Drosophila melanogaster: one gene and its partners. Changing the gene in region 2 together with the main gene of any one other region gives a genetic interaction. Each region holds a gene or a part of one and is shown on either strand. Other genes may lie near its edges.

Region 1 (7,483 bases), 5.3 Mb from region 2:
CGGGACAGATGTAGCAGTGCTTCTCCTTGATCGCTTTAGCAGTCTCGAGGCTCTGTTCCGGCGGAATGCCCACCTCCCGTTCGCGTAGCAGGCTCTGGATGAACGAGGTGATATTGCGGCCCGCGATGGGAATGTGCTTGATGCAGGAGCCGATCACATAGCCCTCGGCCTAGAAATGAAAAACAGCTTAATATATTTATATGGTTATAACTAATACGCTATTTTATCTTAATAATTCCCTCTTAATATAACATTCTGTAGTATTAATAATAGCCTCAGAATGTGCTATTTATTTATTAAATAAATCCGTCGACTGTTTCGGTTTTGGGTTCTCTTTTCAAACAGTTTTTACCGAATCCAGTGCCAACCCAACTCTGCTGATAAGATAAGATCTGTGCTACTTACCACGGGTATGACGTGCGTCACTCCATCGCCGCTGTCCACCACGATGCCTGTAAGGGTACGCTCCTCTGCGGACCGGGAGGCCCAACTGGCGGCTAGGGCAAGCACCGCCTGGACGGCGATATACAGACCAGGAACGTTGAACGTCTCAAACATTATCTCCGCGGTGTACTCCCGATTTTCGGGCGTATTTAGCGGCGGCTCAGTCAGCAGGAAGTAGTGATCCTCAGGCTCGGCGCGCAGATACTTAAAGACGCACTGCTCCAGAAAGCGCTCCATCAAGTCCCAGTCCTCCACCAGACCATGACGCACCGGATACTATTGGAATGCAATGATAAATGTGATGTCGGTTGCTTAATGACCATAGATACAAGAGCATACCTTGATGGAGTAGCCGGTGGCATCGAAGGCCTCATCGCCGATGAAGAAGTCCAGGTCCTCGATGCCCTTTGTGATGCGCCGTGTGTTGGTGTCTCCCACTCGTGCCGACTCCTTGATGGCAATCGCCGAGGGAATAATGAACTGCGGCTCTTTATTCCCGGCAAATCCCAGTTTGGAGTAGCTGATGGATGTGCAGACAAGCAGAGTGTTAGTCAGTCGACCTCCTTTCCGTCCAATTGGAGACCCCCACGGGCAATCGAAACTAAAAACTCACCCGGTGCCCACATCGATTACGCATGCCGGTAGCCTGCCTGCCATGGTCGCTGCTCGTCCTTTTGCCTTGCTGCCAGTTAAAGCTCTTCAGTTGCGATCTTCGCTCGCCTTTAACACAAATTTCCCTTCGTTTCAGTTGCAGATAAACCCAGATTTCTATATATTTTCAACCACACCTCCAACTATGTGTCACTTTGCTCTTCGTCACACACACATTCGCGTGTTCACGTACGAGCAGCTGCCAGGGCTGCAACAATCGATTGGCCATGCAACTTGAATGGCAATTTATCGGGAATTGTGAAAAGTCGCTGTTTTTTAAGCCTTTAAATATAGTTACCTTATGAAGCAAGTGGTCTATATATAAATGGTGCCTAGATTTTCCGCAGCGAAGGCTTTTCAATATTGCTCGAATTTTTGGCTAAACTGTTACCGGCGAACATAATGCAGCCCTGTAGGGCCCCATACACTGCGGCGTTAGTCAACACACACAGGCGCTGTTTCTTCTTCTTCTAAGCTTCGTTCGTCTCGCGAATTTCGGCGGTGTGTGTGTGCGTGTGTGGAGTCTTTTCCACGTTTTTTCCTCCGGAAAAAGAGATTTGCAATTTGGCCCACACATTGGAGCCACTGGTTCGGCTAGCATAAACCAAGGTCTATATAAAGGCAAGAACAGCGGGTGCACAGTGGGCACAAGGTGACCGCCAAACGACGAAGTGCAGCAGAAAGACCGGCGAAACATAGAATCAAGCAAAAGTAGCAAAAATGGAGGCACAAAAACTCACGGAACTGTTGCGCGCAACTATTGATCCGAATCCGGAACAGCGCAAGGCGGCCGAGGATCAACTGGCCCAGGTGAGTTTGCTCCCAAAAATAAACGCCTGCACTTGAATTCGAAAGGTCTTTGGAGGTGGCGCCATCGCCTGAAAACCATGTGCTTTTTTAATTGTTCGCTTTTAACCTCCCTCGCTCCCGCACTTCATCACTCTGGTCGTTGTACAAGTGTGTGGGTGTGGATAGTGTAATCCGATATCGGTCAAAAAGTTTGCCCTTTATGTGTTTACCATTATCCCGACTTCTATGTTGTTGCCCCAGAGGCAACAAGTCGATATCTTTGGGGCACCTACATATGTATGTATGCTATATATATTTCTATATGTGTACATATTTATTGCGAGTTTCGTGTGATTCTTCGGAAATCCACTGAATTGTTAATAAATATTTAATTGAGACTTTCGAAATATCGCCGGAATGCCCTTTGATTGAAGCTTACGCAATTCCCTTGGAAATAAATGTGGGCAATCAGAGCGGCCAGTCTAATTAGACCCCACCCCACTAACCAATTGCTTTGGCCCCACTGTAGAGGCATGCTCATTACGACTGAGTCAGCATCTAACGATTTGCATGCCCCTCCCAATCGCCTCCCACCAACCCCCCTGTTGTCAATTAACTTTATCAGCGCTTATGGCCAGCAGTTGTTCTTGGCTCCTCCATATTAATTGAGCTCTGTGAACGGAATTTAAAGTGCTTCTGCCATTGATTCTTTGACCAATTCAAATTTAACCCAACCCCAAACAGCTGTGTAAACATATCCATTCTATTTTATTTCTATACATTAAAATCCCCACAGATACACAAAATCATCGGATTTGTGCCCACCATACTGCAGATCGTTATGCAGACGACGGTGGAACAGCCGGTGCGCCAGGCCGGTGCTGTCTACCTCAAGAATCTGATCAACAGCAGCTGGTCGGACCACGAGGCCAAGCCTGGAGAGCCAATACCCTTCTCTATACACGAACAGGATCGGGCTATGATCCGTGGCGCTATTGTAGATGCTATTGTGCACGCCCCCGAGTTGATTAGGTGGGTAAATCCATTGAAAATCCTTTCCAGGGGGCTAATTTCGTTCTGTACACAGGGTCCAGTTGTCTGTCTGCGTCAATCACATCATTAAAAGCGATTTCCCTGGACGCTGGCCACAGGTGGTGGATAGCATCAGCATATATCTGCAAAACCAGGATGTCAACGGCTGGAACGGAGCTCTGGTAACCATGTACCAGCTGGTCAAGACCTACGAGTACAAGCGGCATGAGGAGAGGACGCCGCTAAACGAGGCAATGAACCTACTGTTGCCCATGATCTACCAGCTGATGGTCCGACTGCTGGCAGAGCAGTCCGAGCAATCTGTGCTGCTACAAAAGCAAATTCTCAAGATCTACTATGCCCTCACGCAATACACCCTTCCACTGGACCTCATTACCAAGGAGATCTTCTCGCAGTGGATGGAGATCTGTCGTCAGGTGGCTGATCGCGCAGTGCCCGATAGCTCGCACCTGGACGATGATGAGCGAACGGAGTTCCCCTACTGGAAGACTAAGAAGTGGGCCCTGCACATCATGGTTCGCATGTTCGAGCGGTACGTTGACGGCAGTATCTATAGTCATAGTCTAGATAACTAACGTTGTATGTATAAATTTAGTTATGGCAGTCCCAGCAATGTGGTTAGTGAAAAATACCAAAAATTCGCAGAGTGGTATCTGCCCACGTTTAGCCAGGGCGTGCTGGAGGTGCTCCTCAAGATCCTCGACCAGTACCGAAACAGAGTCTACGTCTCACCACGCGTCCTCACTGATGTGCTCAACTATCTGAAGAATGCGTAAGTAATTTAGTATTCTATAAATTCTCATGTGACATTTGATATATAGTTGGAATGTAAAATCGATGTTACTTAATTAGGAGATACCTAATCTTTGATAGAAAGTCTGAAAATTTTTAAAGCTGATAAGATGTAGTGTTTATAATTGCAGTTACAAAAGTCGATTCCAATCAGTTGACTCGTTTTTTTAAATGTTATTTATTCCGTTTGCAGGGTTAGCCACGCCTACACCTGGAAGCTGATTAAGCCTCACATGGTGGCTGTCATCCAGGACGTGATCTTTCCCATCATGTCGTTTACTGACTCCGATCAGGAGCTCTGGGAAAGCGATCCCTACGAGTACATTCGCCTTAAGTTCGGTAAGAGAACTTTTTAAATGACTTGAACTACATTACTAACCGATTCCAATAGATATCTTTGAGGATTATGCCACACCTGTACCGGCAGCCCAATCTCTGCTGCATTCTATGTGCAAAAAGCGCAAGGGCATTTTGCCCAAGGCAATGGCCACAATTATGCAGATAATTACATCGCCGAATGCGGACAACAAACAGAAAGATGGTGCCTTGCACATGATTGGAACGCTGGCGGACGTACTGCTGAAGAAGGCTTCGTACCGCGACCAAGTGGAGTCCATGCTGACCACCTACGTCTTCCCAGAATTCCAAAATCCCGCGGGCCACATGAGAGCGCGCGCGTGCTGGGTGCTGCACTATTTCTGTGACGTTCAAATCAAGAATCCCCAAGTGCTGGCCGAGATAATGCGTCTGACCACAAACGCCTTGCTTACCGACAAGGAGCTGCCCGTCAAAGTGGAGGCAGCTATCGGTCTGCAGATGTTCATATCGTCCCAGGACGAGGCGCCGCAATACGTGGAGGCACAGATCAAGGAGATCACCAAGGAGCTGCTTACCATCATTCGAGAGACGGAGAACGAAGATCTAACAAACGTTATGCAAAAGATCGTGTGCACCTTCACCGAGCAATTGCTGCCCGTGGCCACCGAGATCTGCCAGCACCTGGCCACCACCTTCAGCCAGGTCCTAGAATCTGAGGAGGGATCCGACGAGAAGGCCATCACGGCCATGAGTCTGCTTAACACTATCGAAACTCTGCTCAGTGTGATGGAAGAGCATCCTGATGTCCTGCTTAACTTGCACCCGATCGTCATTAATGTTGTCGGACACATTTTCCAGCACAACATAACTGGTTAGTTGGCTGTGCCCTCAATCGTTGATATCGTTTATAAAAATATCTGGTCATCTCTTCAGACTTCTATGAGGAAACCTTCTCCCTGGTCTACGACCTGACAGCCAAGGCCATTTCCCCCGAAATGTGGCAGATGCTGGAGCTCATCTATCAGGTGTTCAAGAAGGACGGTATTGACTACTTTATCGACATTATGCCTGCTCTGCATAACTATGTGACGGTCGACACGCCCGCTTTCCTCTCCAATCCCAACAGGCTGTTGGCGATTCTCGACATGTGCAAAACGGTAAGCTTCTATTCTTAATAATTAAATATGTCTGAACCTCGAATAACTATAATAATAATTATAATAATTATAATTTATTTTAGATGCTTACTAGTAGCCCTGGCGAGGATCCCGAGTGCCATGCCGCCAAACTGATGGAAGTGATTATCTTGCAGTGCAAGGGTCAAATCGACTCAGTGATACATATGTTCGTGGAGCTGGCTCTGTCCCGGTTAACACGTGAAGTTCAATCCTCAGAGCTGCGCACTATGTGCCTGCAAGTGGTAATCGCGGCACTCTACTATAATCCCCAGTTGCTGCTGTCCATTCTGGACAAAATGTCCCAGCAAAACAACGACTCTATCAGCGCGCACTTTATCAAGCAGTGGCTTCACGACACGGACTGTTTCCTAGGGTAAGAATGGACATGCTTTTTAATGATCTAGATAGTTTATTGTTACGTTTTCCAGCATCCACGATCGCAAACTTTGCGTCCTGGGTCTGTGCACCCTCATCTCGCTGGGCGAAGCCAAGCCCCAGGTTCTGAGCGAAGTGGCTGGAAAGATTGTGCCCGCACTTATTTTGCTTTTCGATGGTCTAAAACGCGCCTACGAGTCTCGTGCTCAGGAGGAAGAGGAAGATGAGGAGGAGGAGGACGGTGACGACTGTGAGGAGGCTCTGTCCAGTGACGAGGATGACATGGACGAAATGGCACCGGACTATCTGGATAAATTGGCCGAATTTGCCAAAACCAAGGGCAATGAGTCGGGCTTCGAAGTGAAAGCCGAAATCAAGGACGACGATGCTGACTCGGACGGTGACGCCGAGGAGTCTGTGGGTGATCTGAACGAGACTGGACTGGAGTCGTTTACCACGCCCATCGACGATGAGGAGAACGAAAGCGCCATCGATGAGTACTGGACGTTTAAGGAAGTTATTACTGGTAAGTTGTGCTGAATTTTGTACACCATTGGAAAACTAACTAATAACCTAATCTTCGCCATCAGCACTTTCTGCACAAGACCAAGCCTGGTATGCGCTGTTGACCTCCAACCTCACACCTGAGCAAGCCAAGGCGCTGCAAGAGGTGGTGGTGACGGCTGACCAACGCAAAGCCGCCAAGGAATCGAAGCTGATCGAGAAGCAAGGTGGCTTCGCCTTTCCGCAGACTGCCGTGCCCACGTCGTTTAAGTTCGGCTCCTAAGAAACTGAATTGACCAGATCACCAGACACTTGGTTCGATTTCTGACTTGATTGTTTCTCATATTCTTTCCAAAAATAACAAAAACATCAAACAAAATACATCTGGCATGCTGATGATGGCTTTGAAGGCATTCTCTTGGTTTTCGTACACTCCGTGTACCCATGTATGCTGCGACAATCGGTCGATTAATCAGATTAAAAAATCGATCGGTCGAGCGGCGACGAGACCGCACTATATTTATTGTAGATTTATATTTTATTTCCTATTTTGTGGCCAGGGCGGCCAACTAAATTATGATAACTTAAGTCCATTGTAAATCTTTGTATGTAAACGAAACGAAACGAAACGAAAAACAAACACGTCAGGACGAGAAGGTCTCATTAAATGAGATTGTGCCCACCAGCACGCCCCCGTAGAACTCCAAAAAAAAGTTGGCATCTAGGTCAGAGAATGAGAATTCAACGCAGAGCATTTCACATACATTTTCTTTATACACACATACACGTATATTCTGTACTAAATGAAGCGATATTTTTGAAAAATAAAAAAAAAAAATTTTTAACGTTTGAACTGGAGAAATCTTTTTCTTATTTGTGTACCTTTTTGTGAGGTATTTAAACCGTTCAGGGAACGAATTTTATAAGTACATCTAATATATATAATTATATTTAATAATGCTAAGTGCTGAAAGACTTTGTTTCCGGAAGATTTCAGCAGTTTAAATATTGGCGGTCATTAAGTAGAGTTATCGATAAGAGCGTCCATCCTGTCGTTCCCCAAAGACGTTTTCTCACACTGAATTGCCGATCGATAAGCGATATCAGAACGCGTTATTTGTTTGGACAACCGGTTGCATTTGTTTACAACCAAGTTTTATTTATAAAGTAGTAACTTACCTTTATTAACCATGAAAATAGCTGTCGAAGGATGTGCACATGGCGAGCTGGAACGAATATACGACACCATAGAGGGCATCGAAAAGGTTGGCGGCACCAAGATCGACTTGTTATTGTGCTGTGGCGATTTTCAGTCCACCCGGAATCTGGAGGATTTGCAGACGATGGCTGTACCAAAGAAGTACCTGGATATGTGCTCC
Region 2 (7,050 bases):
ACTTATTGGCGTTTTCCCCAAGGATCGGGCATGCAAGTGGGCCGAGGGGGATGTGTACCTGCTGTAACGCGGCGACTTACAAAGGGCATTCCCCAAATGCCACATTGGGCACAGATCAAAGATCACCGCGTCACCCGAAACAGGAGCAACTTATTCCCCATCAATTGAGTACGTGCAGAAATTCATCTATAAAATCAGGTTTACGAACAGGCCCCCGAAAAAATATTTGGAGCGCTTTGGACAATTTGTATCAAAATGTGGTACTTCAAAGGAGGAGGCTGTGTCCTTGATACTAAGGAATTTCTCAGCTGCTCAAGGGGTTGATCGTAATAATGAGATATTTAACCCACCCGATGTAAAAACTTTTTGAATTAATAATACATACCAAAAATATATACATATGTATTAATCATATCATGTGTATTTTCTGATATGCCTGAGGATTTTGTATAAAGGAATCAATCAATCATTCTAGATATTTTATCCTTAAAAAAACCCATATATTTTGTTTGTTCTCTTTTAGCTTTCAACTTTATTTTCCAAAAATCATATACGCTCCTAATAAATATAATTACAATAAGTCATTGGGCTTATTACAAAATAAGAATAAACTAAAAATTCGCATAGATCGTATAAATAAATGTGGGTGATGCCATCAATAAACTTAAATAAATTAGGAAACTAAATTTAGACAAGTGGTCGCCAAGTGGTAGTTCATTTGTTTGAGGTTGTTCTTTGGTACGTTTAGCTGCCAATTTTGGGTTAAGTTTGAATCAAATCAAAAACGCTTTATGCAATAAATTAGATTAATCATTAAGCTAGGGTTTAACGGCTATAAAAAAGAGTCTTGTTTGGGATAACTATGTACAGACTTAAGGCAGTATCTTAGCTAATATGTTTTAACAATAATTCTTACGATTAGGTAAATCTTTGCGAAGGCCTAAACAAAACAAACTTTGGCTTCATAGCAACGACTTAGACTTAGGGCCAACTGTGATCTGCTCCACCTTCATCATCATCATCATCATCATCATCATCTGGTTTTGAGTGTGTGTCTCGTCCTGCTTAGCTAATACTGGGATCTCCTGGATCAGAGATTGCCGCCTAGCCTCGGTCAGCAGCTGCTGCTGCTCACCTCCATCTTCAGGGGCTTCAGGTCCTCCACTGGCGGAGCCTCCTCATGGCGGCTCTCTCGATGACGTCGCAGATCCACCTTGCGCTGGAAGGACTGATCGCAAAGGTGGCAACCGAAGGGTTTATACCCCGTGTGCTTCCTCATATGCGTGATCAGGTTGGAGCTCTGGCTGAAGGCCTTCAGGCACACGGTGCACTTGTGTGGCTTCTCGCCTGGAATCGCAGGAAAATCAATAAACACAATTAGTTAAATGCCGCTTCAAAGTTTATTAATTGTGGCCGAGAGGCGGCGGCAGCTTTACAGCAATTAGACAAATTGAAAGGCGATAGGGATCTGTGTGTGTGCTCAAGGGTGGCTCTGTTTGCACCACGTTCTGACACATTTGCCGAGGAATAGTTGGATACTCTCCCCATGGACTAGCTTTGATTTCACCGAATATTCAACTTACCGGTATGTATGTACGTGTGCTTTTTCATGTCCGACTTTTGGTGGAACCGCTTGCCACAATATTGGCAGGGATATGGCCGTGTATCGCTGTGGATGAGCAGATGTGTGGACAGGGTGGACGAACGCTTGAAGCTCTTGCCACACTGTTTGCACTAAAAAGAAAGACATAGACAATAGAAAAATACATTATTAACACCACATTCAGACAGAACGAGTCATGATTATTGGAACTCAGAATACCCCATATTTGCACAGCTTGAGCATATTCACACCAAAAAGCCAAATAATCAAAAAATCAGAAAAGAATTTATATATAAATTCACCGTTTTTGTGTGCCTGAGCCAAATTCGCAGTGGCAACATGAATTAAACTAGATTTGTGAGTGCTCAAATATTTGTTAGACAAGTGACGACAAGGGAAAACCCAAACCAAGCCAAACTTGGTTAGCCCACATCCAGGCGACAAATAATCTAGAACCTTAGCCATTTCTCAGCGCTGAAACCAGCTAGGTAAATATCTCGGCCCAATGCTAAATCTCAAGTGAGACACTTTCCAGGGAGCTTTAGCCATGCATATATGTACATACATTGTATATACCGCAGTATTTGTGGGCCAAACACAGCTGGGATCCACGGGGAATCGATCGCGGGGATTGGACGAATCCAGTGGCTGTAACATCTTCGGTTGTCAGATTAAATGTTTGAACAGTTTGCCAGTTGCAGCAACGTTGCAAGTAACCAAACATTGACATAACACAACTCAAATCGTCGGCCTACGTGGGCGACATTTATATTAAACACGAAAACATGAAAACAACGAAAAGTAAAACACAGAAATGGGTGAAAAAAATGTGAGACAATTTTTTTTTTGAAAAACCCGCATGGTCTACGCGTAATTGTAAATTGACACAAGTGTCGGTTTTTTAAAATTTCTTTCTTATTGATTTTTATGTTCTCTTATTTTTTTATTTTTTACGTTTTTTTTTAGCCTTGTTTTTGGGATTTTCTATTTGCGCATTGCATTCGCGTGGACCATATCCACTACACACATTGGCTAGACTCAGACCCAATTAGTTGCTCTATTGTTAAGCTGCGCTCAACTGCCTGAGCCATAATGTCAATTTGCTTAGCTCTGACAACGGAACGGAAGTTGGCAAAGCTCGAAAGGCAAAAAAAAAAAGAAAAAACGAGCAGGGAAACAAAAAAAGAGTTAAGGAGAAACCCCAAAGTCTGAGTCAGCCGGGTGGGCCTCCAATGGTGAACAGATGTAAAGCACGAATTACAGAAAAAATTCGATTTTATACATAAACAGCTGAAGAACAGTGACTGCGCCTGCGCAAAGGACTCTGGCAACTGTCTTCGTCGGCTTTTTGACCATATGTCGGTCCGGTACTGAAGCCCGAAAACCTATCGCATTTCACTCTGACCCTTTAATGTGTGAAAAAAAAACTGGAAAAAGATGTTAAAAAAAAAAAAAATAAGGACTCGCGGCGGGTGTTGATGGATATAAACGCAATATGACATCGGGGTAGGCATAAGGCCTATTAGGGTAAGTCGTCTCAAATTCCTGAGGGTCGTGTGCCCTCTTACCTTTTGCACAATCCAATATCGAATTATTATGATTGTAATTTGTACATAAATCTTCGAGGGCGAGTTATGCCCCCCACCGCACTGGCGCTAATCAAAATTATTTGATTAACTAATTGCGTGATTTCGATGGGACTTAATTGAATTTCCATAGAGCTCTATCGGTTTGGCTTGTATTACCAACTTTATGACAGTATTTGCTGTGCCACTTTTCCAAATTGAAAGTGGTATTGGTGGGGTTTTCGGCTCGGCGACAATTAAAACCCGCACGGACAAAATATGAAACAATTAACACAGGGGAATTGTCGAGGACACGCAACCTTATGCAATGATACGAACAGTATTCGTTTTGGGTTATAGATCATGGTCCTTCAGGACACGTGATAAGCCCATTAAAGCGGGCTGGGGGCTCAGAGATTTTCAAGCGATTTGCCCTCGATTTCCTCTTCATATTTCCCTACCCCTCGACGCGTTTATCCTGTTTGAGTTTGCTTACCTGGAAATTCCTGCCGCTGCGCTTCTCTTCGTTTTCTCCTTGGTAAGATGACGAGGAGGACGAACGACGCGCAACATCTGTGGCCGTCGAGTCAGGATGTTGCTGCTGATGCTGATGTTGCTGCGGCTGCTGCTGGTGATGCAACTGTTGTTGCTGCTGCTGCTGCGGCTGTTGGTGTTGATTACGCATGTAGCCGAATTCGGCGGCTGCCACCAAATTCATGAGTGCCGCTGCCGAGCGGTTATCCTGCTGCTGCTCGTCCTTGATGCGATGCTGTTGCTGCTGCTGCTGCGGCTGCTCGCTCTTCAGCTTCAAGTGCTGGGTGAGCAGCTCCAGATTGTTGCCCGTCAATCCGGCCATGAATGCGCTGCGATGGGCATACAACTGCTGTTGGGCCACCTCGAACTCCAGATCCTGGACGGCATTCGAGGCGGGAGCGGACAGCGAGGAGATCGGCGATTGCAGCGAGGATATGGATGCAGTTCTGCGCTCATACTTGAACTTTCGCACAATAGGATCCACCTGGTGCTCCTCCTCATCGCCCTGCTCCTCCATCTTCAGGCCGTACTGCTCCCTTCTCGCCGATCTCTCGCACATCGAGGCCGGTGACCAGATGATGTTACCCTGCGATCTCTGGCGCTGTTGCTGTGGTGTACTCGAACTCTTTAGATTCACAGCGCTCAGGGGAGGCGGGGTAACGTTCAGCGAGGTCATCGGATGCAGTTGCTCCACTTCACTGCTGGAACTGCTCCTGCTGCTGTTGTTGCTGCTGCTGTGATACTGATCTCGGTTGGAATCATCCGATGTGATGCGCTCCTTGGTGCTTAGATTTAGTGGCATATCCTCATCCTGCTCCTGATAGTCCTGCTTGCTGTTCTCATTGTTATTGTTCATTTGGAGTTCATGCTCCTTTTCGGGCGTCAAGGCAAAGTCACGATCCCGCTGACCCAAAACCACAGAGGCGGGCGATTTGGGGGTCATGGGGGTCAGTGGTGTACCCAGAGCCGTGGCCGAGGACAACAAAAATTGGGGCCACAGTAGGGCACTCGAGTAGAGCAGCGGGTTGTACAAAAAGGGCAGATCTATGAAATGCAAATTTAACGAATCAGTTGAATAGTAGTGATTAAGATTAGGAAGGAAAAGTATCCTCAGGATGCCTATCAATATAAAGTTACTCTTGTATTGGTAAGAACTACAGTAAAGTTAACATAATTTTTCTGATCTGTTGAAAGTGTTAACATTTTGATTTTAAATCGAGTGATCTTTTAAATACAATTCGAAACGATTAAAAAGCTATAAGCTAATCTTTTTGCTATCTTTACTGCCCCATATATTTTTCTGTCAATCCAGATCGGGAACTCACCTCGACCATTGAGTTTCTGTGCTGCGGCGGAGGCTATCACAGTGTTGAAGGCGGATGCCCGCTGCATCCACTGCTTGTCCAGAGCTGCTCCATGGCAGCCCAATCCCGCGGGACTCGGCTGCTGGGAGTGCGGCGATGGCGGCGGCGATAGGTGATTCATTTTGATTCTGGATCTTTACTTTTTGGAATCTCACTGGATCTGATTTACGTATTTGCTTTAACAGTCTTTGGATTGTGATTTTTCTCAATACTGTTCACTGCACAAATCTCACTTTCTTGGCGTTGTGATCTTGGATTCGAACGGATCTTCGATGGGTCTTATTCAGTGCGGTTTTATCTTGACTCACTGGAGACGAACACGTCCGTATCGCTCGGTGCTTCGCACCTGACTGAATCTTTGGTCGATGGCTCAGTTCTAAATTGAGCCAACGGTGAAGCGACTTGGCCCGAAAAAAAGGTACAAATCGAGCTCTCTTTTTTTTATTTTTGTGTGCGACTGTGGTTACTTGTGGCACTGTGTGAGTGCGGCAGCAAGCCGAATCAAAACGAGCCCTCGGTGTATTGGTGTTGACTCTTTTGGTGGTGGCTCTCGAGAGCCCTGCAATGTATTGTTGGTGTTGGTGTTCGTGTTGCCAACTCTGGTTTTTCACCTTTGGCAGCAGTTGGCGGCAGTTGCAGTCCTGTGTTCCATGTTGTATGGGTCAAGACGCACAGTTAGGAGTCCCCTGGCGATCTCGATACCCCAACCCCCTGCGTTCGTATCCTCTTGGCCCATCTACTACTGGTTTTCCAGCACGCGTTTCCCTACTAATTGGTATGCACTTAAAGTTTGGCGGGCGTTTGTTATCCTTTTCCCGCTGCCCTGTAACAGTTACAATTGCCTTTGCTCTTTCTGTTGCTGCCACCAACTGTTGTTGGCTCAGGAATATCGGGATCGGTACTTTGGCCAAGGGAGAAGAAGCGAGAGAGGGCCAGCAATCGGCAGAGGATTTCACTGCTGATCGGTGGAAGGGGGGAGAGGACGAGGGCGGGATGGGGCGGGGTAGCATACAAATATTTAGGTGGATGAATCCAAGGATCTAACATCTGTCGTGGCAACTCTCCATGTTTGTAGATACTGTTTAGATTACCTTTAGATTTGACAAGGATTACAAATGGGTTCCTAATTTTGAATGTGATGAAAATTAATTTTTGTATTAATTATTAAAAATACATTGCGAGTAAAATATAGGAGAAATTAAGTTTAAATTCATTTTTATTTGCGCTTCTCCCAATAAGGGTAAATAGTTTAAAGCAACATCGTGAATTTAATCTTTAAGCTTTAGACTTCATCCATAAAAAGTGTTATTACATTTTAGAGGATTGACGTAAACCTACTTCACAACCAATGCACAAATATATAAACTTTATTTAAATTATTGTAGAATTTTTTTTGTTATATTTCTATATAAAATCTACCTTACCAAAATGACATATTTGATTATAATAATGTTACATTTAAATACATAAGATTAGGACAGATTTTATTTAATAGCTATCAAAATATCAGATTTCCCATTTAAAACCGTTTTAACAAATAGTTTGGTTTGGTTTCAGAACATTAACTTTCAACAAAGTTTTTGTTAAATTTCTCAATGCAAACTTTGCAGTTCGTCGTATTTTCCTAAAGCATTTCAATAAAATTAAAAGACTGAATTCTTTTGTCAGTCAATTTAAAACCAATACCAAACTCTAAGCCATAAAGTCCCCATCTTCTCGTTGGATCGTAGCTATTAAACCACTCAGATAGGACGACTGAGCACCTGCCACTTTCTCCCTCTACCGCTCGATGCACCTTTTTCCGAGCTTATCCTTGATGAGAGTTCGGGGTCCTCCTCCTGAGTTGGTAGCTCGCCACGCTTGGCCACCTCGTCTTGGCCGCCTCAATTCCAGTTTATCTATCCTTGGCGCGGGCCACACCTGCCTAGAAAACGAGCCAAGAAAATGTGGCGGGCGCACACTTACACTTCCACATTTAACGATC
Region 3 (4,808 bases), on a different chromosome or scaffold from region 2:
GCTAATCGAACTAGAAAGGGAGTTCCATCTCAACAAATATTTAGCCCGAACCAGGCGAATCGAGATATCACAGCGTTTGGCACTCACAGAGAGACAGGTTAAGATCTGGTTCCAAAATCGTCGCATGAAACTCAAGAAGTCGACCAATAGGAAGGGTGCCATTGGAGCGCTGACCACATCTATTCCACTTTCTTCCCAGTCGAGCGAAGATCTTCAAAAGGACGACCAGATCGTAGAGCGTCTCCTTCGATATGCCAACACAAATGTGGAAACAGCTCCACTCCGGCAGGTTGATCACGGTGTCCTGGAGGAGGGTCAAATTACACCACCCTATCAGAGCTACGATTACCTCCATGAATTTTCTCCTGAGCCCATGGCTCTTCCCCAACTGCCCTTCAATGAATTCGATGCTAACTGGGCGAGTTCATGGCTGGGCCTTGAGCCAACGATTCCTATCGCAGAAAATGTAATTGAACACAATACACAGGATCAGCCAATGATACAGAATTTCTGCTGGGACTCGAATAGCTCTTCTGCTTCATCGTCGGATATTTTGGATGTTGACTATGACTTTATTCAAAATTTGTTGAACTTTTAAATATATCTTTGACTATATGTTTAGGCAACTGTACATACATACATATATAATCATTGTATTATACGAGCAATATCTTTCTGTGACTACATTATTATTACTTATTTTGGATGAAATAAAATATGTTTTATAATTAATGTGCGCATTTATTTGTTCAAACAAAAAATGCTGGTTGTGCAGCATTTGGGGATACATTTTGCGGACTCGATTTTCAAAAATTTCACCACCAGACAAATCAAATATTTTTAGACAAAATTCCATTTTAGTGGGCGATACAGTTGAGAAACTAAATAAGCTTGACTTGTTAAAACATTTATTTATATGATATTTATAATGAATGGCCTTGGCTTTTTATTTTACTTAATGCTTCCTCAAAGTTTCTGTATTTTTCACACATATATCTTTTTCACAATTTTAAACAATCTCATGGTGCGCATCGTCATTACGTAGACTGCCGATCACATAGCTCCCTGCTGTCAGACAACTTGTTCGTCAGAGCGTCCAAGTACGAACACCACCCCCAGCTGCAGTGCAAAATCGTGGCAATATTTTTACACCTGTAGTGACACCCGTGTGCATTAAAATCCGCACATAATTACAAACTCTGCGCGGACTGGATTGGAGAACGTTAGCAAAAAGAGGGCGAAAAAGCGGCCAAAAGGCAAAAAGCAATGCCACCAAGATTGACAGGAGAAGAGGCGCCCAAAACAAAAAGAGCGATGAGCGAAGCAAAATGTCAAAAATACCCATAGCCGAAAGCCAAAAAAGCCGGAGAGCGAGAAACTCGCTACTGTGGCTTTTTCTTTTCATTTTTTAGCAGATGCGAAATGTGTAAATAAGAAAAACCAAATAAATTCCGTCACAAGCAACACGTTCGCGTTGGAAGTGGAAAAAAGTGAATGAGGCAAGAAAACGCCGCGGAAATGATGGCCCAAGATACAGGGGTTCCCGAGCTACACGACCGCAAAGATACAAAACAAACTGCCGAGCCGGCCAATCAGAGGGCCGGAGACTTGTGCGCCGGTGTGTGTGAACTCCACCCCCTGGTCTCTGCGCGTAATGGCTATAGTAACCAGTTTCCAGATGGCACCGCGCATGTGCCGACCAGGAAAAAGCGTGATGGATGCGGTGGCTGTCGCTTAGGCCACTCCTTGATACTGGGTCCCAAAATCCCAGTTCAGTGCGTTCGGTGCTATTGGATGGAATGGTTGTTGGCTGCTATCTAGCTCTCGGGAACCGCACGAAGCTCCCCAAAAGCCCTCTGTCTCGCTCTCGCTACGAATCGGTTCGGTATCTAAAAAATAATATTTATTAAAATGACAGCTACAAAAATAGTTCAAAAATTTTGAAAACTAAAAAGTGATATTATTAAAACGAGTTGAAACCAAAAGTTTTACTATACGGTTGAGAAGCACTTTAGGAACCCCTGGAAACCCGGTTCTGCGCACCTCTTGAAGGCCAGAGAGGGACAGCTAGTGCCCACATGTGTATGAGTGCGAGTGGAGAAAACTATCTCAGACGAATTGCAACGACTGAGTGTGTGTCTGTGTGTGGCCATTGCAGCGATCGCAGCGACTCTACAAAACTCTACAAAATCAACACATTCCGCATACGCACCGTTGTACAGCGCGTACTTGCACTATTGTCGTTATCGCCGTTGTTTCGTCGGTTGTGTTGGCCTTTCGCGTCGCCATGGCTGCCAAAAGGTGTGTGTCTATGTCAACCTGAAAGCGAAAAACCAACTCCAAACACCACTTGACGGTTGAGCAAACACAACGGTGGCCATATTTACATTCGGATCTGGGTTCCCTCGCTCTCGTCGCGGTTGTCGCCTCTTTTCGCGGCCCACAGATAAGCCCTGACACACTGAAGTTTTACGCAAAACCCGCATCGCAAAAGTTGTGCCGGTTGAAACTAAAAAAAAAAAACAAACAAAAAGTTAAGCCAGTTACTATGAGCGAGTGCAGACAATAGTGAAAACGGTGACCCAAGTGATACCGGTGAAATTTCCACAAAGAACGCATATGTCAACGTAAGAGGAGAAATATGGAATACTGTGGTCTGTAAATGATCAACTTAATATGGTACGAAATTATCTTACACATATTTCTTACCTACATTTAAAAATAAGTGTATCCTTTTAAAGCACGAGAAAATCAAAGCGTGTCGTTATTTCGTTTTTGATACAACATGTTAGTCTAAAATACGAGCCTTTTAAGTCGGCAAAATGTTTACTGCAAGAAATATTTCAAATCTTTAATTGGCGGAATCGGAAAATATATTCGAATTTTCTTATTCATTTATACTTCCTAGGAAATTAGCTATGCGGCATTTCTTAGATGAGGATATGTAACAGCTTTATAACTTTTTCTGTTTAAAATATGTTAATTTATTTACTGACTATTAATCCTTAAAAAAATAATGTAAAATAATGTATGCGAACCAAGCCAATTTAGGTAACATTGTAGGACAGGTTGTATGTATTGTACATACATACAATACATATTGTCAAATCTCAATCGAAATTAGGTGGCCATAAATTTAAAGTGAAGGCCTAACAATTTCTATAAGAGCAATAGTAAAAATGCAGACTACAAATGAATTTCTGGCACAGAAAACTGAGAGACTAATGAAATATAAATTGGAATATGTAATTTAAAAATAGTCAAGTTTTTGACAGTTGCAATGTGAAAAATTGGATCGGTAATAATAAAATAAACATTGATTAGCATAGTAAAGTGACGATGTTTTTGTTTCTTAAAATGTTAATGAAGATAATGACATATCTTAATGAAGTATATACGTACATTATATTGAAATTATATATATTCAAAATATATAAATAAAAATTCAAAAATTATAAATATAATAATAAAATAAACATTGAATAGCATAGTAAAGTGACGATGTCTTTGTTTCTTAAAAGGTTAATGAAGATAATGATAACATATCTTAATGAAGTATATACATACATTATTCAATTTCACATTCGATAAGAACAGTGAAACCTCTAACTTCCTGGGAACTGAATCGTGATAACATTATTATGAGATTACAAAAATGGCTTTCCTTTCCAGGTTCCCAAGCTGAGGAACATCTAATACGCTCAGGAATTGAAATAGAAAGAATCTAAAAAAAATTATACCCAAGCTATGCAAGAAGTCTGCAGCTCCTTGGACACGACCTCAATGGGCACCCAAATCAAATCGGAATCTCCACTCAACCCGCTGCAGGTGCAAACTGGACAGACGTCCCTGCCAGTGGGTGGTTGCGGTGGTGCGGGCGTCGTGGGTGGTGTGGGTGGCGTGGGAGTGAGTGTTGGTCAGCCTGGTATCGGACAGCAGGGGGTGCCACCTGTGCCGTCGGTGCTCATGGTCAACAAGATGACCCCGAACTGTGATAAACGGAGCGCGGACACGGCCTATTGGATGACAGCATCCGAGGGCGGGTTCATCAATTCGCAGCCGTCGATGGCTGAATTCCTCAACCACTTGAGTCCGGAGAGTCCCAAAATCGGAACACCTGTTGGATCCGGCGCCATTGGCGGAGTAGGCGTCAACGTTAATGTCAATGTCGGCGTCGGAGTCGGATATCCGGTTGGCGTTGTCCCTCAAACGCCGGATGGAATGGACTCGGTGCCGGAGTATCCCTGGATGAAGGAGAAGAAGACATCCCGCAAGAGCAGCAACAACAACAATCAGGGTAAGTCCACATGCACATTACACTGGGGGAAGCATAAGGTTTTTAATTTAGCGATCGACCATGTCAATTTGAACACCATTCTCTGAAGAATAGGCGATAATCTCATCAGTCCATCTCAAACTATTGAATCAATCAAATAAAAAGTAAGATATTTTTATAGACACTTTTCCATATCAGTTTAGACCGGAATCAATTGGGTTCTCTTGTCCCGGCCATTTTTTCTTGCCGTGTACTGGCTGGTGAAATGCGAAACTCTCATTAATCACGAGCTCACAGAAACCTAAAGACTCCAATAGCGCCAATTATGCCACTACGAAGTCCCTCTGGCACCTGGTTTCGAAGTGATGAAGAAAGAGCCAGTGCTTTCGCTGACCATTTACAAAATGTATTCCGACCAAATCCCTCTACCAACACATTTATTCTCCCTCCTTTAATAGCAGCCAATCTAGATCCTCAAGAACCCTTTGAATTCCGACCATGTGAACTAGCAAAGGTTATCAAAGAGCAACTG
Region 4 (4,925 bases), on a different chromosome or scaffold from region 2:
CTGGATGTGGACACGGTGAGTGGATAAAAAAAGTGAAATAGCTGAGTGCAAAATGTAAACCCACTAGCAGGGCTTCCACTTCGATGAAGCCGTCGCGGAGGAGGTGCTGACCATCGAACAGGAAGCCGAAGTGGAGACCGAGGACGGCAATGGTGGACAGGACAGCGAGGATATACCCACGGCGGAGGAGGTGCACGCCACTATGAAGCAGTTTCACCTGCGCAAGTGCCAGCCAGCACAGGATGAGGCCGCTCGTCGCGCCAAAAGTGCTCGTGTTCGTCGCCGAAACAAGTGAGTTCCCATCCCAGTGTCCGTTTCATATCTTAATCCCACGTTTTCCTTGGGCGCCAGAGTTTCGCCGGAGCAAAGCGATGATCCGGACGAGCGCAGCCAGCGGGGACGTTCCGCTTACACGCGGCGAACGCAATCGCCGCCCGATCCGCTGGAACCATGGAGCACCCGCGAACTGCAGGACATCAACAAGATCCTGGCCAGAAAGTGAATACAGTTAGCGCAGGAGTTTCTGGCACATAGTCCTTGGTGGCTTATAATTGTTTATCAGATCTTAGCTTAGTTAGAAGTACAAATACATAATAAAGAGCGCGGATGCCACGCGAAACGCTGGGTTATGCTTTGGACCGGTGGCATCCGTCACCCGTCACATACATACACTAATACACTCGATTTCCCATTATTCTCTCTAAGTGCTAGGTTTAAAAGTGGTGGAGGTGGCGGTTTTTTTTTTTGGAGAAGGTGAAACCTGCTGCCAGGGGGCGGGAGGGTCAGCAATAAATTACAATTGAGAAATCGTTTCTACACAGATGCCTACGACTTAGACACTAGCTATATATAATCTCCCCCGCGATATACAATCGTATACACCTACGTAAACTATAATATTATACATTGTGCTGGATGACAGGGGATGGCGCAATCAATGCCCGCTTGCCAATGCCCGATTCCAATGCCTCCCGATGCTTTCGATATGATTGCCAACTGTCCGTCTGTCCGTCCGTCCGTTGGTACGGATATCATACTTCCAGCTTTTACCGAAATCCGCCGGTTAATGTGCGATCCGTGGACATGGTGGAGATCGTTTGTGCCTGTTGCTGCTGCGCCGACTGCTGCTGCTGCGCCTGCGTCGCCGCCGCCTGGGCACCAGTCATGGTCGAGTTGATAAAGATCGGCGTGCCACTGGCCACCGCACTGGCGTTGCTCTGCTGCGTGAGATTGGCGTGCTGCTGCTGTTGCTGCTGCTGCTGATGGGCCACTGTGGGTGCTCCGCCCAGCTGGAGCAGTTGCTGTGTCGTCAGCAGTTGGGTTGGTATGATGACCTGTTGTTGCTGCTGCTGCTGTTGCTGCTGCTGTTGTTGCTGCTGCTGCTGCTGTTGCATTTGTAGTCGCTGCAGGAGATTCAAATGACTGGCATTGATGGCGATCTGCAATGGGAAAGGCAAGTCTTAATCTGGGATTCAATACAATTACCTCAAGTGATACCTACCGGCACATTAGTCAGCTCCCCCGTGGGCGTAACCACTTGCTGCAGCAGCTGAATCTGCTGCTGATGTTGCTGGTGCTGCTGTTGCTGCTGGGCGAGATTCTGGAGCAGCGCCGTCTGTTGCTGGGCAGTCGTTTGCGGCGCTGGCGTTGCGGTCAGCTGACCATTGGGACCGGCGGTCAGTATCAACTGCTGGGTGGGTTGTTGGGTTGACAAAATGTTGATGGGTAGATGATTCTGCGCGGGCTGCGGCTGCTGCACGAGCTGCGCCGCCTGCTGACTCGGCAGTGCGATAAAGTATTGCAACTGTTGGCCACCAGCGCCCTGCTGAATAATCTGAACCTGCTGTGGATGTGCCTGGTGATGTTGCTGCTGCTGTTGTTGCTGCTGCTGCTGGGCGGCGTGCTGTTGCTGCTGTTGTTGTTGCTGCTGCAGTTGCGCTGAGAAGATGTCCGAGTTGACAGTGCTGAAGCCGAGCACCTCGGCGGCATTGGTTGCACCCGTGGTGTCCAGCTTGAGGCCACCAGCGGTGGTCGCAGGTACGGTGGAACCACTGGCTACAAAGTTGCCCGTGGCGGTAGCATTGCCCGCCACGGAGGCGGCCGCATTGGAGGTGGCTGTGTTGGAGGTGGAGGCGGCACTGCTGGCTGCGCCCGCCATTCCGCTCGAACTGGATGTACTGCCATCCTTGGTCTTTTGCGCCGACGACGGTTTGATCTCTTCGCGCGGCACAATGTCGATGAGGAAGTCGAACTGGTCGTAGTTGGCTATGGCCTGGGCAATGTCCGAACGCTGGAGCGTACGCCGCCGGCTCTCCTCGGTGTGCACCCAAGCGTGCATAGTCAGCTCCTGAATGAAGTACTCGCAGGCTTTGGCAAACAGTAGCGGCGCCTCGCCGGCAATCATCTTGGCGTTCTCGTCCAGCTTCATGATTTTCTTGATGCGCGCCAGCGGCAGCACCTGGTGCTTGGCATCCACCTGGCCGATGCTGTGCACCTCGCTCACGATATTTGGCCAGAAGTTGTCGATGGTGGGCGGCGGTTTGCGTGCCACCTGAGTTCGTGTGGCCTTCGTGGTCTTCTCCTTGGCGCCGCTCGCAACGGTGGTGGCCACCGTCACACTCATGCTGGGATTAACCAGCGTACAGGCGTTGGACACCAAACTGGCCATGGGAACCGTCTGCTGTTGCTGCTGGCCCTGCTGTTGCTGCTGCTGCTGGGCGGAGGAGACGGTGGAGGAGGAGGTGACCACCACTGCATTCGGTGTTCTTCGCTGCATAGCCGCTGAATTTTGCGATTTGGCATACGCCTGGCCCAGTTCCATCTTTATGGGCGTCACTGTGATGGTGTTGTCGAACATGGAGGTGGCATTGCTGTAGGGCATTCACATTAGTTTCATTCAAATTATTTGGCATGCACAAATCGCAGAATGAAAACAAAAAGGATCGGCGCACACACTAAAAATCTCGGCTGTACCGCCTGTTTTTTTGGGGGAGGGGCGCTAGATTTTGCTGGCGGAGGCGGAACTTACCTGTTTGGCGCCTTGTTCGTGCCGCCATTGTTGGTGGCGTACATGGCCCGGTTGGCTGGAGACCTTAGCTCGGCGTTGGCGGCAACCGTGGGACTCTGGCGACCGGCTCGAGTCCACAATATTCGCTTTAATTAGCTTCTAATTCGCAAAGCAAATGCGTAATGTAATGCACACACACACACATGCATACACGCGAGCGTCAGTGTGACCAGGCGGCGGTGAGGGCGAAAACTGGACAGCCCGATAACGATAGCTTTTAGTCGGGCTAACTGGCTACTTCCAAGCCACATTTAGCCGGCACAATCGACAATCGCATTCTGCCCGCTTTCAAGCCAGATCGGACAGCACTTACCGCTGATAAGGAATGCATCGAATCTAAACTACAATCCCAATCCCTGAGAGAAACGAAGATGAAGGACCTCTTCTGGCACCTGGTGGGCATAGCCACCGGCCTAAAGATCCTGCTGATTCCAGCCTAGTAAATGCAGTGCTCTGTCCACTTATCAAGCCCACTAAATCAACTTCATCCTTAGCCATTCCACGGATTTCGAAGTCCATCGCAACTGGCTGGCCATCACCCACAGTTTGCCGCTGAATCAGTGGTATGTGGACGCCACCAGCGAGTGGACACTGGACTATCCGCCGTTCTTCGCCTACTTCGAGTGGCTGCTCTCGCAGGTGGCCAAGTACGTGGATCCACGAATGCTGGTGGTGGATAACCTGAATTACGAGTCCAAGGCCACCGTTTACTTTCAGCGGCTCTCGGTGATTGTTACGGATCTAGTGTATGTGCTCGGCGTGCGCAGCTGCCTGGGCTCACTGGGATTGGGCAGGGATACGCAGCAGTTCTTTGCCGCCTCCATGTTGCTGCTCCTCAACGTGGGATTGATCTTCGTGGACCACATTCACTTTCAGTACAATGGCTTGCTGTTCGGCATACTGCTCCTGAGCATCGGTTCCCTCATCCGGCAGCGGTTCCTCTGGAGCGCCTTTGCCTTCGCCGTGCTGCTCAACTTTAAGCACATCTTTCTGTACATGGCGCCCGCTTTTGGGGTCTACCTGCTGCGTTTCTATTGCCTGGAGCAAGCGAGTGTGGTGTCTGCGGTGGGTGCCGTTGTCAAGCTGCTGGTCGTTGGACTTACTCCGTTCGCCGTGTCTTTCGGACCCTTCTGGCAGCAATTGCCGCAAGTCCTCTCCCGTCTGTTTCCTTTCAAGCGTGGCCTAACGCACGCCTACTGGGCACCCAACTTCTGGGCGCTGTACAATGCCGCCGACAAGTTGGCCGCCGGAGTTTTGAAGGTACAGGATGGCGGTGCCTCGACGACGTCAGGATTGGTCCAGGAGGTCAGGCACTCGGTGCTGCCAGCCATCACACCGCCTGTGACTTTTGCCCTGACCGCTCTCTTCATGCTGCCCATTTTGGTGAAGCTCTTTCGCAGTGCCAAGAAGTGAGGAAATCCTCGTTTGGATTCCAAGATATCGCAGCAAACTTATCCGCCATCTCTTTGCAGACAAAGTCCGCTGGTCTTCCTGCGAGCGGTGGTTTTGTGCGGCTGTTCCTCCTTCGTCTTCGGCTGGCATGTGCACGAGAAGGCCATCTTAATGGTGCTCCTTCCGCTCTGGTGAGTTCCCTTCCCCTCAGTTAATTCGAAATGAAGGAATCCTACTAACAGGCCCACCCTTTTTCAGTCTGCTCACGCTGGTAAACCGGGAGGATGCCAGATACGCCTATGTCCTTGGCATTGCCGGCTATTTCTCTCTCTTTCCGCTGCTCTTCGATGCGGATCTGTACATTCCCCGGTATTCCCTGTACATGTCGTACGTGGCCATGATGTACGGCCAGCTGTATCGCATCTTCCCCGGCTTCCGAGGCTTCCACACGCTGGAGTGGCTATAC

Evidence for each region.
Region 1: of sens (region 2) and msk, changing one suppresses a phenotype caused by changing the other (phenotypic suppression), as found in Drosophila melanogaster (one study listed by BioGRID).
Region 3: of sens (region 2) and pb, changing one suppresses a phenotype caused by changing the other (phenotypic suppression), as found in Drosophila melanogaster (one study listed by BioGRID).
Region 4: of sens (region 2) and Nf-YC, changing one suppresses a phenotype caused by changing the other (phenotypic suppression), as found in Drosophila melanogaster (one study listed by BioGRID).

The regions. Positions count from the first base shown.
Region 1 is NT_037436.4:8,114,625-8,122,107, forward strand, and holds msk (moleskin), read left to right. Parts: upstream 1-1,554; 5' UTR 1,555-1,815; coding exon 1,816-1,905; intron 1,906-2,680; coding exon 2,681-2,916; intron 2,917-2,971; coding exon 2,972-3,469; intron 3,470-3,532; coding exon 3,533-3,709; intron 3,710-3,922; coding exon 3,923-4,068; intron 4,069-4,120; coding exon 4,121-4,918; intron 4,919-4,980; coding exon 4,981-5,204; intron 5,205-5,287; coding exon 5,288-5,598; intron 5,599-5,653; coding exon 5,654-6,126; intron 6,127-6,190; coding exon 6,191-6,387; 3' UTR 6,388-6,955; downstream 6,956-7,483. Other genes in the region: Arp3 (Actin-related protein 3), read right to left, coding at 1-169, 406-720, 784-964, 1,058-1,101; ldbr (lariat debranching enzyme), read left to right, coding at 7,295-7,483.
Region 2 is NT_037436.4:13,395,721-13,402,770, forward strand, and holds sens (senseless), read right to left. Parts: upstream 5,406-7,050; 5' UTR 5,188-5,405; coding exon 5,028-5,187; intron 4,747-5,027; coding exon 3,665-4,746; intron 1,735-3,664; coding exon 1,584-1,734; intron 1,348-1,583; coding exon 1,115-1,347; 3' UTR 508-1,114; downstream 1-507.
Region 3 is NT_033777.3:6,739,039-6,743,846, reverse strand, and holds the start of pb (proboscipedia), read left to right. Parts: upstream 1-1,783; 5' UTR 1,784-2,679; intron 2,680-3,672; 5' UTR 3,673-3,747; coding exon 3,748-4,297; intron 4,298-4,808. Other genes in the region: zen2 (zerknullt-related), read left to right, coding at 1-598. UniProt on the Drosophila melanogaster protein: Sequence-specific transcription factor which is part of a developmental regulatory system that provides cells with specific positional identities on the anterior-posterior axis. Controls development of mouthparts, and labial and maxillary palps.
Region 4 is NC_004354.4:6,817,655-6,822,579, forward strand, and holds Nf-YC (nuclear factor Y-box C), read right to left. Parts: upstream 3,266-4,925; 5' UTR 3,073-3,265; coding exon 3,029-3,072; intron 2,871-3,028; coding exon 1,502-2,870; intron 1,440-1,501; coding exon 1,047-1,439; 3' UTR 524-1,046; downstream 1-523. Other genes in the region: iav (inactive), read left to right, coding at 1-15, 71-291, 352-502; xit (xiantuan), read left to right, coding at 3,439-3,506, 3,562-4,476, 4,540-4,650, 4,718-4,925.